Linked DNA regions of Elephas maximus indicus. The protein of the gene in region 1 binds, or shares a complex with, the protein of each later gene. Links are inferred from orthologs where the notes say so. Each region holds a gene or a part of one and is shown on either strand. Other genes may lie near its edges. The genes, in order: HBS1L and PELO.

Region 1 (10,926 bases):
TACAGTTTAGAGGACAGCAGACAAGGACTTTCGAAGGTAATGTTAATTAAACCTTTAAACATGTGGAAAGTGAGTTTTATGAATTGCATTTACGCTGCATTTAATTATATGTAAACTGTTCCCACCTTTATGGTATAGCAAAATTTAGTAGGGGGGTTTAACCAATTATATATACTTGGCTGAAATTTGAAGACAGGTATATTATTAGGGAAATTAGAGTAAGAGAAAGATTTCGATCAAAGACTGTCTTCACTGGAAAGAAAATAGAAACGTTTTTCTTATACCGTGGCAGAGAAGAAATCTTTCTGCAAATAAGACAGAAGGTGCTGCTTGAGTGTGGTACCATACAGGAATCAGAACTCTAAATAACGTTGTAACTCTGACAGAAGTCTGAACTACATACACATACTTGGTTTATTTACCAAACTGTCTAATAGTACATGAACTAAAGTTCGATATGATGGGAAGTCTATGCATTGCACCTCAATGTCTAATATTCAAGAGATCCTATACACAGACTTCTAATCCAGATACTAGCCAAAATTTTCCAATAGGAAAAGAAGATAGAGCAGTTGCAACAGAACGTGAAACCAAAGTTCTGCCTATTTCTAAGGAAGAATCCAAGCAGTACAGAATAGTTGCAAAAGAAGTCAAGGCTTCAGAAATTATATAAATAATTCTGCAATTATTTAAGAGAATAAAAAAAAACTCAGTTCCACAAAATTTCTGAGGGCCTACTATGTGTCAGATACCCCATTCTATATAAAATAAACTACTACCTGCCCCCAAAAGTTTTAGAATCTCATTAATGACTAAGTTAGCACATCAATATATTTTAAATTAACTGCATATTTAAAACCATGTTGCAAAGAATACCGGGAAAACCAGACTCTTCAGAGTTTTCTTCAAGTTATTTAAGGTTAAACAACTTAAAACTTTAAATTTTCTTTATGGGTAAATAATTTATTTTATACATCTTTAGAAATTAAAATATAATTATCTTTTTAATGTAACATACTATTACAGTCTCATGGAGCACTCTAGTGTTTTTATGAAACACTCCAGAATGACAATAATATTTACTTGACATTTTTAAATGCCCAAATCATGGAAATCGATTTATTAAAAATAATTCACCTGTTGATGGAGAAATACAATAATCATCTTCTACAGACTGGCCATAGAGATCATCATCTTCAAAATCTAAAAGTAGAAACAAGAGATAAATTCATTTATAAGTTCTTTTACATTTTTCGTTACTAATGAGAAGGCCTCTAAATTCTCTTCAAAATAAATTACTCATCAAAATTAAAGGGACCTGGAATAATCCAAATTTTTCCAAAATTTTTCCAAAAATTCGAAGAACTTTCCCTACATAATAGGCATTTCCTGACAATCTGTATTTATAAAGACATACATGGTTATTCACTTTTTAAACTAATTAGGTTTTACTAAGTTTTTTTAAGTTTTTACTCCATTGGGAAACATGAAGTAAATAATAGTAATAAATAATAATCCTACAGACCACATACTTGAACAGTCTTTCCAGTGCTGGCAAAAACCTCTAACAAGCCATCCATCCATCTTTTTCACCAAGTGCTATCTATAACCAAAAGTACTTTTTTCCATACAACAAACTAGCACTGGGTATGCACTCTGACCATGAAAGCAGTTTTTCTTCATATAAAGCTAGGTCTGTGATGCTCAACAGGTTTCAGTGGAGCTTCCAGACTACGACAGATTAGGAACAAAGGCATGGTGATCCACTTCCAAAAATCAGCCAAAAAAACTATGAATCAATAGTCTAAGCTCCTTGAGCATGGGGTTGCCACGAGCCGGGGGGCTGACTCAATGGCAGCTAACAATCACCACTATACAAACCAGCTCACCCCATATAGCCTTGTGCTCACTCTGCTCTAGACCAACTGCCTTGTTTCCTGTTGACTGAGGGCTCTTCCTTCCTTCTGGCCGTTCCTTCTCCTGTCACCTCTTTGCACAAGTTCTCCCTGACTACCCTAGGTGAAACAGCAAGCACCTCTCCCCTATCCCTCTACTGTCTAGCATACTCTTCCATTTTATTGTCTTCAAAGCACTACACCTATTTTGCTCCATGAATATATAAGCTCCTTCAGGGCAAGCCTGTCTAGCCAACCATACTCGACACATGTTTGGCATGTATTTATTTATTAAAATTAAAATATGTTTTATTTTTATAGATTTTAAAGAATCGAAGTAAAAACTTCACGAAGAACATAAATATACCGGCAAAAATATATTTACTCATTCATTCGACAAGCACTAGCAAGATGTCAGGGACTATTAGAGACACTTAGGGTTCAACAGTGAGCAATGGGCACATTTCCAGTCCTCTCCAAACCTGAACTTTAATGGGGAACACAGACAATTACAAAACCATATGAACAGTGCTTGACATGAGAAATACAGAGCAATTTGGGAGCATATACAACCAAACTAGTATTTAAAGTGCATGGCTAGGGAAGGATTTCCAGGAATATAATATCTAAACCAATTCTAAAAGGACAGAGCTTGTTAGTGTCTGAGGGTATATTCTGAGCAGCAGAAACACCATGTTCAAAGGCTGACACCAAATGCTATGGCAAAGAAAAATTAGATAAGTGCTACTATCAGATAAAAACATGTAACATTTAATAAACTATTACATCATAATCCTGAGTTAGAAAATAACAATTTATTAGCAAATAAATAATGGGCCATTCACAAAAAAATTGGGTATTAAACACAAGGATCTTTTTTTTACTAGGTCAGTTTGTTGATACAAAAATTGATCCGTATAAAAAGATTGAAAGAATGGTTTCCTAGGATCTTTATAAAATGGCTAATTTCTTCAACAAACTTTAGTATTTTAGTATTTACATGTAAAGCACTGAGCCAGCTACTGAAATAAATATAAAAGCATGGATTTTGCCTTCCTGGGGCTTTTAGATGAACAGCTGAAGCAGTCATGTAAAGTACTATCCAAAAAAAAACAAAGTGAGAGTTAAATAGGGAAACAACAGGTTTTGGAGCACAAAGGATTAATTCTGAATGATGATAATGTCCGGGTAGCTTAAATGAGTAATTTTATTTCTATTTCCTTAAACTTTCTTTAATGAAATTATATTACATTTGAAAAAATTTTAATTATTATTCTGAGTCCAAGAGAAAGCTTAACTGGGAAGAAGATAAATGAATTGGACCCTGAAGATGAGTACAACTTTTATACGCAAGAAAGGGGAGTAAACTTCCTACACTATAGAAACAGCTTGGTTATGATGTCACCATTTGTTTCAAAGAAAACATGACAACTTGACCTCAGGTGGCCAAGGTGAGAAGAGACTTATCACTCACTCCCTCAGGTGAAGCACCACCTCCTCCAGGAAGCCCTTCTTAACACAGAAATCCTGCTTAAGCCCCAAACCATTCTGAATTAGGTGTCCTCATTTTTTTTTTTTTTATTTACATAGCCCCATATCACTTTGTAATTTTATGCAGCAACTCTAACACTCTATTCATCTGTTACTTGTAATCTCCCCCATAAAACTACCCTCAAATACCTTACTGTCAGTCTCCAAAGCTTAGAAAACAGTGCCTGGACACTCGATTAATGTTGACTGAGGAAATATCTATTCAAGAAATGAATGGGTACAATTAGGCCTATTCACGTCTTCTATATAATTGCAAAAACATCTCGCAGTCTAAAGCTACTTCTCAGATAACTGTGGCCCACAGCAATACTTGGATTCAACCTTAAAAACTCCTCCATTCTGGGGTGAACACCAGGAACCTAATATGCATTACAGTCTCCAAATTCAGCAGCGTGTTAGCTGCCCTCCAGCACGGTTAGAAGATTGTGATGTTCCCCGATTAATCTACTGGGGTGCCAATAATAGCCATTAACATTGTTAAGTACTTAATGTTCTGTACTTTATGAAGCAATAGTTCTTTAACTAATCTTCCACATTCGTTCATATCTGTTAATATTTTTAGTTTGTAAGAGGCTTGGTAATGCCTATAATTATTCATGGTATAGAAAGAGACGTTATGTTGTAAAACTATTTTCAACTCCCTTTAAACTCCTAGAGTACACACATATACAGGTTTTTGTTGCTGTTGTTTTCCATTTTTTTAATCAAAAAGTCCGTTTCCATATCCTCTTTCTTCTAGTACTGTTTGTTTTCTTTTTTCATTTCAAAATACAATTAACATTGAGCATTACCGGCTAAGACCTGAGTATACACCTCAAGAGCATCTGATCGACTTGCTATTTGGGCCTTTTTAGTATGTATCTTTTCCACGGTCTCCGAACTTTCTAACCTAACTTCATTAAAAAAAAAAAAAATTTATACTTAATATAAATTAATCAGATAGCTCAAGCCAGGTTCTGCACCAAATATGTATGAACATACACAAAAGATTTACTATGTAAATCCAATACAATTACACCAGGCCAGCTGAAAGTAAACATTAAGTCAGTCGGTGTTTGTCCCTTTCATGGACATTTTTGAAAGAGTCGGAAGAGGGGAAATAGAGCCACGTGCGTGCCCGAACTGAGAGGAAAGGAACAATGGGAGGGAGAGGTGACAATGCTTGAGTGCATAAATATCACCGAATCCCAACCTCACGAAAAGTCCTTCCCCTATGACGCCGTCCTGCACCTCCCCCGGCCTAAATAAAATCAATCACAGAAGGCAGAAACGAGGACTTGTAACTACACCATATGCTGGTACTCTGACGTCCTGTTGTGTGCCTCCCTCCGCTGGGCTTCCCCCGACTTCCAGACTGGCACCACTGACGAGGAACTCACAGATCGAAACAGACGGTGACAGGCTGCGATCCCGGCTGGAACAGAAAAAAGGCGTCCCGGCACGGCTTTGCTACCTACCTTCATCGTAGTTATAGCCTCGGACATTCCGATGCCGGGCCATGGCGACAGAAGAGGCGTTGACAACAACCCCTTTCTAAACACCCCGCTCAGTTATTGATAAAGCGCCAACAGGGGCCTGCAGGCCACCTATGCGCCATCTTGGCTTCCGGCAGGCCTCTGCGGCGAGCGCTTGCGCACGCGCAGCGTCTTATCTGACGGCAACGTCTCAGGGTCATTGCCCACCTCCCTGGAGACGCATGCGCACTCACGGGCTTTAGTCAGGCGCCCCTCCTCCCAAGAGATAGAGGTGGAGTTTTGGGGTGATCACGACCACAGACAAGTTGGCTGACAGGGGTTGCTAAGGCGCGGAATTTCACTGATAGAACTTTTGTAGTCTGACCGAGTATTGAGAGCGTCATTCCCAGAATTGTGCTAGCTTCCAGATTATTTTCCAAATTTGGTTTCTGATAATCTAGTGAAAAAGCTGACTGTGCGCTCACCAGGAGCAGCGACCTTGTTTTGTGCAACTTTGGAGTCCTACTTAGGCAGATAAAAGGCATTCAACAAACTTGTGTAACTTTGGTATAAGAATTAGTACAAGCTTTAAAGAAGGAAAAGGGCTGTTTTTAACCGAGTTGTTTTTAGGTACCGTCAAATCATTCGGACTCATAGCAGCCCTATGTACAAAAACAAAACACTGCCAGGTCTTGCGCCACGCTCACAATCCTTGTTATGCTTGAGCCCATTGTTGCAGCCACTGTGTCAATCCATCTCCTTGAGGGTCTTCCTCTTTTTCACTGACCGTCTACTTTACCAAGCATGATGTCCTCCAGGGACTGGTCCCTCCTGATAACATCTCCAAAGTACACGCAACATAGTCTCTCCATCCTTGCCTCTAAGGAGCTTTATCGCTGTACTTCTTCCAAGACAGATTTGTTGATTCTTTTCGCAGTCCATGGCATATTCAATATTCCTCGCCAACACCGTAATTCAAAAACGTCAGTTCTCCTTCAGCCTCCTTTACTCTTTGTCCAGCTTTCACATGCAGATGAGGCAATTGAAAACACCATGGCTTGGGCCAAGTGTACTTTAGCCCTTAAGTGAAATGGATTGTTGTCCTTGTTGTTAGGTTCTGTGCAGACGGTTCTGACTCTTAGCGACCCCATGTACAACAGAACAAAACACTGCCCAGTCCTTCACCATCCTCACAATCGTTCATTTGCTTGAGCCCATTGTTGCAGTCACTGTGTCAATCCATCTTGTTGAGGGTCTTCCTCTTTTTCACTGGCCCTCTACTTTACCAAGCAAGATGTCCTTCTCCAGGGAATGGTCCCTCCAGATAACATGTCCAAAGTATGTGAGATGTAGTTTCCACATCTTGGCTACTAAGGAGCGTTCTGATTGGGTATATACGGTTAAACTGAGAGCCTGGTTATGATAGGTCACCACATTTTTGTGTGATTTATGGCTTCATGTATGAGCAATCCTGCATTAATAACTAGTAAACAACTCTCTGCCCCTAGCTATGTAAAAGATTTTCATCAGCTTCGTAAAGGCTTCAGTAAGGATTCATTGAACATACAAAACCCTGCATAACATGCTAAGGGTACTAAATATAGCTTTATAGATATAGCACTGGCCTTCCTGGTAATGATGAATGTTATCGATGCATAAATATATAACCTGAACATAAAGCAAATGATGCTATTCATATATCTAAAATCCAATCTAATAATCATACTGAATAAACTACTAAGAAAAAAAAGATTTAAAAGTTGATTCAACTTTTTATTATCCGCAACAGAAATAATAAGATAACACAAATTTAATATGTGTTCATAAGTGACTTGGAATGTAATTTGTACATGCACCTGAATGTTTCTGATCACTGAATGCTTTTTAAACAGTGTTGCTGTTTAATGTAGCTCCAGGACAAAATCTGATACAAAAATGGAGATAGTTGTTAGTTTTATAGGGCTTAAGTGTTTTCCTTATATTAAATTTTTAAATAATTTTTATATTGCAGCCTGTTTCTTCTTAAAATGGAGATAATGATAGTATATACCTCATAGATAGGGTTGTATCCTTTCACCATACTTATTCAACTTGTATGCTGAGCAAATAATCCCAGAAGCTGGACTATATGAAGGGGCATCAGGATCGAAGGTAGACTTATTAGCAACCTGTGTTATGCAGAAGACACAACCTTGCTTGCTGAAAGTGGAGAATACTTGAAGGACTTACTCATGAAGATCAAAGACCACAGCCTTCAGTATGGATTACGCCTCAACATATAGTACTAGAGCCCCGAATAAGGAAACATTACTTGTGCCTGAGGGATAGCTGTCTAATTTGCCTCTTGGATCTTCAATAATGTACTCCTTTAAAAGTCTAAATAATTGAGAGCTTCAGCTGCTTTTCAAGCAATAGGGCCTTCAATGACATCCTCACAAAGTGCTAGGGGTTTTATTCACTGACCTCAGAACTCTTTTAGGTACCATTGTAATAGTTTTGTATTGTAGACTGATGGAAAGTGCCATGACTTTGAAGTCACACAAACCTGGATTTCAGTCCCAGCTCTGCCACTTTCTGCCTGTTAACTTCTTTCAGTTCAAGTTCTAGATGTAAAAACAGATGTCTTCTCTTTTGAGAAAATTAAATGAAGTGATGCATGTAAAAGCAGCAGATGTTACACAACAGGTTCTCAATAAATGCTAGTTCATAACCCACCAATTGGAAACTTTATCTCTGTTTCTCCAGCACCCTAGTGTCTGGCACTTTGAATGCTTCCTGAATGATTTAATGAATAAAAGAAAAGAAATAAAGTGATGGGTCTCTTGCTATGGGATATTCAGCAAATGCCATAAACAACTGCACAAATAATGCATATATACAGAGATTTGTAACAAAAAATGATAAGTGAAAAAAGCATAATTAATTACTGAAAAATTTTCAACAGTATTATTGGGATTTAAGGAGCCCTGTTGGTCCAGAGATTAAAGCACTCCGGTGCTAACCAAAATGGTAGTTTAAACCCACCAGCTGCTCCAAAGAAGAAAGATGTGGCAGTCTGGTTCTGTAGAGATTCACAGCCTTGGAAATCTTATGGAGCAATCGTATTCTGTCCTATAGACTGCTATGAGTTGGAATTGACTCGTTGGCAGTGGGTTTGGTAATCCTTTTTATTGGGGTTTAACTGACAAACACTAAAGTGGATTCAGAAGAGGACATGGAATGAGGGATACCTATCATTGATGATGTCAGATGAATCTTGGCTGAAAACAGAATATAAGAAAGATGTTTACTTGCGTTTTGTTGTATGTGTCTGGATTATAACAAATTATGGATGACACTGTAAAGAGTGGGAATTCTAAAACACTTAAATGTGCTCATGAAGATTCCATACATAGACCAAGAGGCAGTCATTCGAACAAAACAAGGGATACTGCATGGTTTAAAATCATGAAAGCCGTGCATCAGGGTTGTAGCTTTCATTATACTTATTCAATCTGTATGCTGGGCAAATAATCTGAGAAGCTGGACTACATGAAGAAGAATGCAGTATCTGGGTTGGAGGAAGACTTAGTAACAATCTGCAATATGCAGATGACACAACCTTGCTTGCTGAAAGTGAAGAGGACTTGAAGCATTACTGATGAAGATCAAAGACTACAGCATTCAGCATGGATTATACCTCAGTGTAAAGAAAACAAAAATTCTCAAAATTGAACCAATAAGCAGTATTATGATAAACGGAGAAAACACTGAAGTCATCAAGGATTTCATTTTACTTGGTTCCACAATTAACGCCCATGGAAGCAGCGGTCAAGAAATCAAACAGCGACCTACATAAATGGAAAAACATACCATGCTCATGGATAGGTACACTTAAAAAAAAAAAAAAAAACCCAGTGTCGTCTAGTTAGTTAGTTAAGTTAGGTACACTTAACACTGTGAAAATGTCAATATCACTCAAACCAATCAACAAATACACTGTAATCCTGACCCAAATACCAACGGCATTCTTTAAAGAGATGGAAAAACTAATCATTAATTTTATATGGAAAGGGAAGAGGCCCTGAATAAGTAAAAGCACTATTGATGAAGAAGAATAAAGTAGGAGGACTCATACTGCCTAGCCTCAGAAACTACTATACAACTACCGTAGTCAGTACAGCCTGGTTCTGGTACAACAACAGGCACATTGACCAACGGAACAGAGTTGAGAACCCAAATGTAAATCCAACCACCTATGGTTACCTGATGGACAAAGGCCCAAAGTCTGTCAAATGGGGAAAAGACAGTCATTTTAACAAATGTTGCTGGCAAAACTGAATGTCTATCTGCAACAAAATGATACAGGACCTGTACCTCACACCATACACAAAAACTAATTCAAACTGGATCAAAGACCTAAATATAAAATCAAAAACTATAAAGATCATAGAAGAAAAAATAGGGTCAAAGCTAGAAGCCCTAATATACAGCATTAACAGAATACGAATCATAACTAACACACAAACACTAGAAGATAAGCTAGATAATTGGGGTCCTCTAAAAATTAAACACTTATGTTCATCAAAAGACTTCACTGAAAGTAAAAAGAGAATCTACAGACTGGGAACAAAAATTTGGCTATGACAAATCCAACCAAGTTCTAATCTCTAAAATCTACAGGAAAATCCAACAGCTCTACAACAAGAAGACAAATAATCCAACTAAAAAAAATCAACAAAGGATATGAAAGAACACTTCACCAAAGAAGATGTTCCAGCTAAACAGATAAATGAAGAAATGCTTGTGATCACTAGCCATTAGAGAAATGCAAATCAAAAACACAATGAGATACCATCTCATCAGACATTACTGGCATAAATCAAAAAACAGAAAATAACAAATGTTCAAGAGGCTGCAGGGAGATTGGAACTCTTATGCACTGCTGGTGGGAATGCAAAATAATAACAATCATTTTGGAAAACAATATGGCACTTTCTTAAAAACATGGAAATAGAAATACCAATACGATTCAGCAATCCCACTCCTAGGAATATATCCTAAAGAAATATGAGCCATCACATGAATAGACATATGCACATCCATGATCATTGCAGTATTGTTCACAAAAGCAAAAAGATGAAAACAACCTAGGTGCCCATCAACAGATGAATGGATAAACAAACTATACTGCATACGCACAACGGAATAATATCCAATGATAAAGAAGCATCTCACAACATGGATGAATCTGTAGGGCATTACGCTGATTGAAATAAGTCAAACACAAAAGGACAAATATTGAATGAGACCACTACTATAAAAATTCATGAAAATATTTTAGCCCAAAAAGAAACCATCTTTGATGGTTACGAGGGAGCGGAGAGGTAGGGATGGAAAAACACTAAATAGACAATAGATAAGGGATAACTTTGGTGAAGGGTAAGACAGTAGACAATACTGGGGAAGCCAGCACAACTTGTCCAAGCCAAGGTCATGGAAGCACCATAGACACAACCAAACTCCCTGAGGGACTGAATTACTGGGCTGAGAACTGTGAGGACCATGATCTCAGGGAACATCTAGCTCAACTAGCAAAACATAGTTTATAAAGAAGATGTTCTACATTCTATTTCGGTGAGTAGCATCTGGGGTCTTAAAAGTTTGTGAGTGGCCATCTAAGATACTCCACTTGTCTCACCCCATCTGGAGCAAGGGAGAATGGAGAAAACCAAAGACACAAGGGAAAGATTAGTCCAAAGAACTAATAGACCACAAGTACCACAGCCTCCACCAGACTGAGTCCAGCACAACTAAATGGTGCTTGACTACTGCCACAGACTGCTCTGACAGGGATCACAATAGAGGGTCCTGAGCAGAGCTGGAGAGAAATGTAGAACAAAATTCTAACTCATAAAGAAAAAAAAGACAGGAACTGGAGAAATCTCGGGAGTATAGTCTCCAGACACCTTATAGCTCAGTAATGAAGTCACTCCTGAGGTTCACCCTTCAGCTGAAGATTAGACAGGCCCATAAAACAAAACTGG
Region 2 (10,487 bases), on another chromosome or scaffold:
GAAAAGAGTGTTTCAGTGGGGTCTGGATTAGGGGATACTTTTTGCCCTGGAAACCCTGTTGGTGTAGTAGTTAAGAGGTACGGCTGCTAGCCAGAAGGTCAGCAGTTCAAATCCACCAGGAGCTCCTTGAAAACCCTACAGGGCAGTTTTACTCTGTCCTTTAGGGTTGCTATGAGTCAGAGTTTGAGTCAAGAGTCAACTCAATGGCAACGGGTTTGGTTTTTTTGTTTCTTTTCAGCTTTGCCCACCAAGTAGCCACATGACCAGCAAGTCACACCTCACGTCTCATTTTAAAAATGAAGATACCTCAACTGGATTATCTTGTGAATCTCTGGCAGGTCAAAAGTCCATGATCTAAGAATAGCTGATTAAGTGGCCCTCTAAAGCAAACATGATTAATTCTAACAACAAAACAGGAGTTTACTTTTAACATGATTGGTTTAATACGTCTTTTAAGGAAAATTCCATTTTAAATGTGTGCAAGAAAAGTCTCCTGGGTTAGGTCTCTGAGCATTATTCAGCCTACCACACAACATTTCTAATTATTTTTAATGTATCTCAACGTGGTTCCCAAACATAATTAAAGCTATATTTACCTGTGAGTTGATTCAAATATTAATTTTAAATAGCATTATTAAAGTATATTTCCAAGGAATACTTTAAGCTTGTACTTTTAAATTACTCAAATTATTCAGTTTTCAATAACTTATAATTAGTAAAACCACTTCAGATTAAAAAAAAAAGTCTCCTAATGGTTTGGCTATAGCTTAAAATAGAAATAAATTTAAATCCTAAAAAAAAAATGGAGTATGCACAGAGGTAGGGGCAGGAAGAAGCATCAAATGCAGTTCGAGAACACCATGAAGAATTAACCTAAGCATAATGTAAACTGCGGATAATGAGGTAAAAACTTTTCCTACGGAAAACTATTTCAAAGTACACAGCATGGGGTTTTATGATATCTCCCAAACAATACATAGGTATTATTATTATTGGACACACAGAACTTTTCTAAGTACTGCAAATAACTGATCATTCCTATACAATGTTTTCCCAATTAATAATGATGGTAATACACAGAGATTTCTTTCACAATTTATTTTTTTTAGTTTGAATAAATGTCCTGCTAACCAAAAAATAAGCTTGTGACCTAGTGTGATCAAATACATCAGAGATCCCTCTATGAGTCAAAAAGTGTCACAAGGATGCTAAGGAAACATATAGCAGAAGTGAGGCAGTGAGGCAATAAGGTTGTCTCAATTACATATTCCAATCATTAATCCTCTTCAGAACTAGAATCATCCTCTTGGTCAGAGAGTTCAGGGACAGGGAAGCGGAGAATGGCAGCCACTCCAGTCAACTGACTGAGCTGTTCCCCAGATACATGAAGACTGGAGAAGATCCTAACCGTGCCTGCATTTTCTTTCACACTGTCCACCAGCCTCACGTACCGGCTCCGTGTGGCTATGTCCTGGTGTCTGAAGAGCTCATCGCTGATGAGCAACGTGTCAATTGCCATGGCCTCGTTGGCCTTCTCCACCTGCTTAAGTCCATAAAAAGCTCGGTCAGGTTCATGCTGTAACATTTTATAGAAGTCATCCAAGGCTTTTACTTCCCCAGCAGCTTTAGTGTCTGAAAGGCGGCTAGCTACAGTAGGGTCACAAAGGGCCTCTTTCAGGGAGTATTTGTGTCCAGAGGAGGCATGTACCTAGAATCACAATTACAAAAGTTAGACAAGAAGTCTCTTAGGGCATCCATCCATCATCAGCCACAATGACCTAAGACCGAAAGCACTAATAAGACTTTATATATGTTTAAGAATTTCAGTAGAAGTTACTCTATACATTTGCTGGTATTAAGAGTTCTCTTTAAGAAAAAAACAAATCGTATTCTATTTACCCCATTTCATTAAATCATTTACAACTGCAACCCTAGCAAAGTAAAGCCTTTTCCTCCTTTACTTTTTCCACTGACAAAACTTCAGCAGGAGTTTATACCAGTCCCACTGCCCCTTCTTAATGATCCCTAGGTAAGACTGCTTTACCTGCAGGAATTTGGACCGGTTTTCCAGCAGCACTTTGTTGTCAGTCTTCACTGCTTGCTGAAACATGTAGTCGCAGAACTGCTCCCTCACAAAGCCTGGGCTGGCCACCAGGATGCACTTTACAATATCGAAGTGTATGTGGCGCTGGATGGCCTGGACCACCTGTTCATAGAACCGCTCCAAGGCCCGGTCATGCTGAGAGCAGTTGCCTTTCCGCTTCCTAGGGATGTTCACCTCCACCTTGGCCCGAGTTAAGGTCATGCTGGGAGTGACTAAGCAGATATGGGCGAGGCCTTCCTGCATGACCACAGCTGCCACATCAGCGCTCCAAGCCGGGTCGCAGGCCTGCTCAATGCGCTCTAGCACCACACTGTCCCACTGCTTCTTGGCTAGGGTGAACTGGCGGTTGGGCTCAAGCTCAATGGTGTGGTAAGCCCCCATCTTGACATACTCATTCTCTTGGATGTTGGTCCCTTTGACCCGAAGCTGGCAGGCTTGAGAGTCGAAGTCGATGGCCTCCACGCAGAGAGTGAGGGTCGTGCGGACTCGGTTGCTTCCCACGCTGCCCGTGGAGGACTCGGTCTGCACCTTTCGGATGGTGGAGGCGCGCAGGCTGTCGCCCACCTGCACTAGATTGTAGGTGTGCCACATGTCCTCGGGCTCCTCGGGGACCAGGGTCACCTGGCCCGCGTTGTCCTTCTCAATGTCCTTCCTCACGAGCTTCATGATCTTAGAAGGGGCTCACGGCCCGAACAAGAGTGGGACTCCACCAGGAAAGGGGCAGGGAAGGAGGGAGGGGGCGGGGCCCGGTTTCGCCGAGCAGTTGTCCGGCGGGAAGGAAGTATTCTAACTCCAACTCCTGCGGCCGAGGGGAGCACTTACTCTAGTAGCCCTTCATTTTCCAGTCTCGGAGCGCGCCGCGTCAATCGAACGCGAAAGAAGCTGTAGGGACACGGACTCTTTCGCGGCTCCAGCCGCCGGCACAGACCAAGCGGCTGATGCAACGAGAACGCATGCGCACCCTGCCTCCCGCCTCCCCCCCCACCGCTCCGCTCCCGGCGCAGGTTTTACGTCTCCCACGGGGAGGCGTGGCCGCAGTTTGCGCGTGCGCAAGCGCAGTAAACGTGGAGGTGTCCTGGCAAGTTAACCCCAGGGAAAGTACCGAATCTTTGGTGGCGAGTCTTATTATAACGCTAGACGTGCGTTTTCCACGTTGCCTCTTCCTTCCTCGTTTGTGAAGAATCTGAGGAGAATGTGAGTGTAAACATGTTTGTTTTCCACGTGGGTGCAGTTGCCACTCTATCTGATTTTAAAATGTATCTAAAAGTGAAAACTCTCAAAAAGTGCAGAATTACCCCAAAGGTCCAAACTAAGCTCGGTTTTTCTCCTGCCTTATTCGTACTCAGACGCTACACGCCTGTTGGAGCTGGTATTTGCATAATCGGTTTCTAAGAACGAGTGGTCAAGGTCCCTGGGCAACGAACCTGGCTGTTTTCGGAGCGTAGTTATCGTGTCCGTGCACGATCTGATTAAACCGGATGTCTAAGCACTGATCCCAGAGAGAGAAGAAACCATCTGTGGAATTTACCCCTGGGTGGACTTCTCAGTTTCTTGACCTGATGTCCTGGGAATCCCAGAATCCAAACTTGGCAGTCACAGCTTTCCGCAGCTCAGTAGCCTGTGAAATGTCTATGGTGGGGGTTGGTTTAGGGTGGTGGGGCAGAGAAACATCTTCCCTGTAATAGCTTAGGGCCCGAGCTTTACTGACCAACCTAAAATGAGCTGGGGATAGTGGGAAGTGGGGGGAAACTGATCTATTAACTGTGAACTACCCCAGTGTAATAGCTACAGAATTGATTTTAAAAATCAAAGTCTTGATTATTGAAACTCAAGTCTCAAATATCTACATCAGAGATTGTCAGGGGACACGTAGGTCCCCTCCAGGGCTATAGTTTAAATTAGAACTGCTATTTCCTTTGTGGCCTTTCTTCCCTCTCAGCTTTTTACTAAGCACGGAACTGATCGCATTTGAATGTGAATGTGACTTGCCTCTCCAAAGCACATTGCATCTGAACTGGTAGAATAATTGTGTGTGTGTGTGTGTGTGTGTGTGTGTGTGTGTAAGAGAGAGCGTGCGTGCGCGCCTGCACACATACACAGGGGAGCTGTGTGTGTTTATGTGTGTGTGTAGAGGAGGGGAAGTTTTTGGAGCTGGGGAGCAGAGGTTGCGGTGTTCCTGGATCACCTTTCTAAGTACAGTTCACCCCCCCCACCCCGCCCCATAGTCTGCCGAGAATTAAAACCACAGAATCATGGTGCTAGGAACACAACGCAACATAAAAGAAATCCATTGCTGTCCAGTTAATGTGTGCAGATTAGAACTGTGCTCTATAGGGTTTTCAAGGCTGTGGCCTTTGAGAAGCAGATTGCCAGGCCTTTCTTCCAAGGTGCCTCTGGGTGGGTCTTAACTGCCAAAGTTTTGGTTAGTAGTCCAGCACTTATCTGCTTGCACCACCAAGAACTCCTTCTAGGTGCACAGTAGGATCTTAATGAATACTAGATTTTTACTAAAGAGCTATCATTTATTGAGTACTTTCCAGTTACTTTCCTATGCTGTTTCTAATCCTCACCCAAAGGGAAATATTTGTTATCCTAAATTTATAAATGGAAGGAATGAATTATAGGAAAATTAAGATCACGTAACCTGCACTCAAATTCAGACCTACTTAATTGTAACTCCATACCCTCTCCCCTTTATACTACCACAATACTATATTATGAATGCCGTTATCCACTGTAATCAAAGACTTGTAGCTTGGGAAGTGACCTAGATGATTTAAAAAGGAATGATCACTTCTCTGCTCCTTCTTTACCTCTTAAAATCTTTGTAATATTGTTTTCCAGTTAGTTTTCCTTCTGTTCAGTCTAGGTCACCATTATAATCCTTGAGAAAAGTGTTAATATTCTACTTTAGAAAAATATACATATATTTCTACATTTAAAACCTGTGAAAACCCAACACTGACCCTTAATTCCTTTTATTTTTTTAATTATAAAGTAAACTGTTCTGGGCTCTCTTTTTTATGTACATCAGCGATTGAACATACTACACAATTTTTCATAAAAATACTCCTTGGTCTGAAACATCTACAATGGTTTACAACTTTTTTTTCCCCCAGTTACTTGAGCTTGTTGAATGATCAGATGTTCTCTCTGAGCTTTTGTGTTATGACTTAGTAATTCTAGACCAATCATTATACTTTTATTTTATTTTTGGTCCCCCTTCCCTATTAATGGAAGTCCAGACTCCCTGACATTCAAAGCTTCAATGATTCCTCCTTACAAGCTTTGTTTCCTACTCGTCCCCTTCAGAACACCAGCTGCTGTCAAGCTGAGTCCAACTCTTGGTGATCCCATGTGTGTCAGAGTAGCACTGTCCTTTATAGTGTTTCAGTGGCTAATTTTTCAGTAGTAGTTCGCCAGGCCTTTCTTCTGAGGCACTTCTGAGTGGACCCAAACTGCAAACGTTTGGTTAGCAGCCAAGTGTGTTACCTCTGTGCACCACCTAGGGACTCTACTTGTCCCCTCAAGGCACCCTGTATTCTACCATGGGAGTAGCCTTTAGTCCCCAGATGTCCTAGGAACTTTCTCCTTTGCTACCTTAGCTCACGTGTTCTCTCTAAAGTGTCACTTCCTCTCATCCCTGCTTCCATTCATCCTACCTGTCTTTAAGGGCCAGCTTAAATGTTATCTTTGACTTGGAACTCTGCATTGTATTAATTCAAACACATATATTTTATTTCTTATTGACCTCTGCACAGATATATCCTGGTATCCCCCCAGTGACCAATGCAGTGTCCTTTGCACATAGTAGGGACACATATGAATAATAAGCTAAGTCATCAGATGTAAAGAGCACCAGCGACATTGTCATCACAGACACTTCTTAAGGCATTGATGTCGTCATTGATTATAGTTAATTTAAGAATGATAGTTCAGAAAGTGGGGTCCCTCGGTGGCCCAAACTGTTAATACTCAGCAGTTAACTGCAAGGTTGGTGGTTTGAGTCCATCCAGAGGGGCACTGGAAGAAAGGCCTGGCAACCTCCTTCTGAAAAGTCAGCCACTGAAAACCCCAGGGAGCACAGTTTTGCTCTGACATACGTAGGGTTGCCATTAGTTGGAGTTGCCTTGATCGTTTAGTTTAAAAAGCAATTCCTCTTACTTAAAAACTGCTCTGGTTAAAGATATATTTTTATTCTTTATCAAAATAAGCAAAATCATAAGGAAAAGACCACGGTTTAACTCTGTTGCTTTAAATTCTATTTTATACTTATTGACTCTTTGAAGATAGAAAACTTTGTATCAGTAATTTAATTACACCTATTTTTTCCCTATAATATTGTATTTAAATCAATCTCTCCATGGAAAAAAAAAAAAGTGTCATTATCTCCAAAATTTTTCTTTTGTTGTTTTTGATACCCTTCCAGTGTCTCAAAAAGAGAACTGGGCTAGAAGTCAAGTGTCCTAGATTGTAGATCTTACCCTCTCAGTTGTTTTTACTGTAGCTTTTGGCAACACGCACTGTCTTTGAAACTCCGTTTCTTTTACTTAAGAATTAAGGGGATTGAATTTAATAATTAAAATTGTTTTAATTGTAAAAATTACAACAATGCTAATTTAAAAAAAAACCATTTTTGCACATTATCTTTTGCATTTGACTCTTTCTAAGGCCTGGTGACACAACAGTTAAGTGCTCGGCTGCTAAATGAAACATTGGCAATTTGAACCTACTCAGCATCTCCGCAGGAGAAAGACCTGGTGATCTGTTCCTGTAAAGATCACAGCCTATAAAAACCCTATGGGGCAGTTCTACTCTGTTACATGGGGTCACTGAGGCAAAAATCAACTCAAGGACACCTAATAACAACCTATCAATAAAAGGCCTTATTTAGTGGAAAAGACTGATTCCAAGTTTAATGACTGGGCAGCAAGAACCAGCAAAGTTACGGTCTTTTCTAGCTAGATTGTAGCAACTTTACATAAACTCCCTGACGGCTATAAACCTAACCTCCTTCATTCTAAATCACAAATAAGGTTAGTTGCCCTGCCTTTCATTTGACAAGCCTTATGTGATTCAAATGAGATCGATACCTTGTAAACAGTAGAGTCCTATAAAAATATAAGGTACTATGATAAATGTATAAGAATGCCTGGCTTGGAGCAGTCCAGAAATCTGCATCTGACAAAGCAATGGGCAAAGGGCTCGCTGATTCAGTAACTGATTCGGTCGAGAGTTAACTGATGGATAACCTGTTGGGTGCATGTGTTTATACTAGTACCTACTTTCCAAGAAAACTTTAGTCAGCCCTACTATACGAAGCAGTTCATGTGTCTCATTGGTAAAATGGATCAGAATTCTCCTCCTTCATATAGTAATAATATGTAAGACATGGTTTGCATGACAGCAGCAGGATTGTGGGCTCCTGAAGGATGAGAATCTTGTTTGAATCCTCGGCCCTTACCACCAGCACCAGTTGCTGTCAGGTCAGTTCTGACTCATGGCAACGCCATGTGTGTCCGAGTAGAATTGTGCTCCATAAGCTTTTCAGTGCCTGATTTTTTTTTTGTTTTGGAAATAGACTGTCAGACCTTTCTTCTGAGGTGCCTCTGGGTGGACTTGAACCTCCAACATTTTGGTTAGAAGCCAAGCGCATTATTCATTTGCACCTCCCAGGGACTCAGTCCTTAGCGCACACACACACACACACACACACACACACACACACAAAACTTTGCTGTCAAGTCCATTCAGACTCATAGTGACCCTAAAGGACAGAGTAGAACTGCCCCATAGGCATTCCAAGGAGTGGCTGGTGGATTTGAACTACTGACTTTTTGGTTAGCAGCCTAGCACTTTAGCCACTGTGTCACCAGGCTCCTTAGCACAGTGACCCTTAAGTAAAAAATCCCATTGCCATTGGGTAGATTCTGACTCACAGCGACCCTATAGGACAGAGTAGAATTGCCCCATAGGGTTTCCAAGGAGTGCCTGGTGGATTCGAACTCATGACCTTTTGGTTAGCAGCCAAACTCTTAACCACTGTGCCACCCTAGGATAGTAGGGGCTATATAAATGTTCTTGTTTCCATCTTCTATTTTGTTATAAGACAAATCTAATCATTTCATCCCTCTACAATGTCTTGGCAGCACTTCTGATCATTAGTTCTTTGCATGTCTGTTGCCTCTTCCAGATTGTGAGCCTCTTAAGAGCAGAGACCCCCTCTTATTTGCCTTTGTATTCCTGGAACCAACCACTTGTGCATAATTATGTTTGTTATGTGAAAGAATGAGTAGTAGTTCATTTTCTTTTAATTCAGTTTTTAACTTGTTTATCACTCACATCCTAAAATAGGAAATCATGGTGGTCTGCTTCAAAATGTTACTTAAAATTTAAAAAGAGATTACTCTTAAGGTAAGTTTTTATAAATCTGTTTTAAATTTTAAGACATCCATGCTTGGGTAAGAAAGTGATTATTTTAAACATATCTTACTGAGGAAGAGGTTTTTAAATGTTTTAAATTAAAAAAAGTTTTATTATACATAAATCGGACAGTGATCTTTACAGAATAAGTAGCCAGAACTCTGATCATGAATATCTGGTGATACATGCAGCCATTTATTTAGAAAGAATGTACTAGCTTCAGATTGTAGAAAGACTGCCACGTGACCTCCATAAACAAAGCTAAGTGGACAACTGGGATGAATATTCAGCTAACTCAGGCAAAGGGTAAAAAGGAAATTTTTTTTAAATAAGGAACTTTTTGTACTTAACTTACTATCTAAATTTCCGGTGACTAAAAATACTTGCAGTTGTCACAAAGCAATACAAAGCCTGCCATCAAATAAAATCCTGTCAACGGGTGTGTGTGTATGTGTGTGTGTGTGTGCGTATATTTCTGTGTACATATCCCTATACAGTACAGCATCATTTTGCCAGATACATTACAAGAAAATGCATTACACAAATATTTTTAAGGGTTGATCAATATCCATGTGTTTTCATACATTAGTATTTGGCCAACTGAAAGTCTAGTTAATACTAGGCTTTAAGATAAGAGGAAATTTTGATGAAGGGTAAGACAGTACACAATACTGGGGAAGTCAGCATAACTTGACCAACGCAAAGTCATAGAAGCTTCATAAATGCATCCAAACTCCCTGAGGGACCGAGTTACTGGGCTGAGGGCTGGGGATCATGGTCTTGGGGGACATCTAGCATAATTGGCATAACATAGTTTATAAAGAAAATGTTCTTTAGCCTACTTTTGTGAATAGTGTCTTGGGTCTTAAAAGCTTGTGAGCAGCCATCTAAGACATTACACTGGTCCCACCCTATCTGGAGCAAACGAGAATGAAGAAAACCAAAGACACAAGGGAAAGATTAGTCCAAAGGACTAATGGACCACAGCTACCACAGCCTCCACCAGACAAAGTCTAGCACAACTAGATGGTGCCTGGCTACCACCACCGACTGCTCTGACAGGAATCACAATAGAGGGTCCTGGACAGAGCTGGAGAAAAATGTAGAACAAAATTCAAACTCAAAAAAAAAAAGACCAGATTTACTGGTCTGACAGAGACTGAAGAAACCCTGACAATATGGCCCCTGGACCCCCTTTTAACGCAGTACTGAAGTCACTCCCGAGGTTCACCCTTCAGCGAAAGATTAGACAGGCCCATGAAACCCTGGTGGCGTAGTGGTTAAGTGGTACGGCTGCTAACCAAAGGGTTGGCAGTTCAAATCCACCAGGCGCTTCTTGGAAACTCTGTGGGGCAGTTCTACTCTGTCCTGTAGGGTCGCTATGAGTCGGAATTGACAGCACTGGGTTTGGTTTTTTGGTTTTTTATGAAGCAATAACACACATAGTTCAACCACGTATATGAGACTAAATAGGCACACCAGCCCTTGGGCAAGGACAAGAAGGCAGGAGGGGATAGGAAAGCTGAATGAATGGAAATGGGGAACCCAAGGTCGAGAAGGGGAGAGTGTTGACACATTGTGGGGTTGGCAGCCAATGTCACAAAACAATATGTCTATTAATTATTTAATGAGAAACTAATTTGCTATGTAAACCTTCACCTAAAGCACAATAAAAAAGTCTAGTTAATAAAATAGTTTTGAAAGTACATTGTAATTTGTTTAAGTGTGTGCAATCTATAATAAAATAAGTAGACTATTCCTTTTAATCATTTAAAGTTCTGATGTGATTTAGGGGCCCTATTAAAACTTAAGATTTTGTATTTCAGCAGATCTCCGATAATTCATATATATATAAATATCTTTACTTTTGATATTTGAATAATGATTTTTTTAATTCAGATTTCTGTCTTGTTTGTACAGATCTACTGTTTGGGTGCAAACATTCACATAAAGTCAATTC

Evidence for each region.
Region 2: HBS1L (region 1) and PELO share a complex: the UniProt entries of both Homo sapiens proteins name them as parts of the pelota-HBS1L complex. The link is inferred for Elephas maximus indicus from reciprocal best matches to the Homo sapiens genes HBS1L and PELO.

The regions. Positions count from the first base shown.
Region 1 is NC_064819.1:204,553,387-204,564,312, forward strand, and holds the start of HBS1L (HBS1-like protein), read right to left. Parts: upstream 5,081-10,926; 5' UTR 4,947-5,080; coding exon 4,904-4,946; intron 1,204-4,903; coding exon 1,138-1,203; intron 1-1,137. UniProt on the Homo sapiens protein: GTPase component of the Pelota-HBS1L complex, a complex that recognizes stalled ribosomes and triggers the No-Go Decay (NGD) pathway.
Region 2 is NC_064820.1:55,687,131-55,697,617, reverse strand, and holds the start of PELO (protein pelota homolog), read right to left. Parts: upstream 4,302-10,487; 5' UTR 2,771-4,301; coding exon 2,045-2,770; intron 1,709-2,044; coding exon 1,277-1,708; 3' UTR 1-1,276. UniProt on the Homo sapiens protein: Component of the Pelota-HBS1L complex, a complex that recognizes stalled ribosomes and triggers the No-Go Decay (NGD) pathway.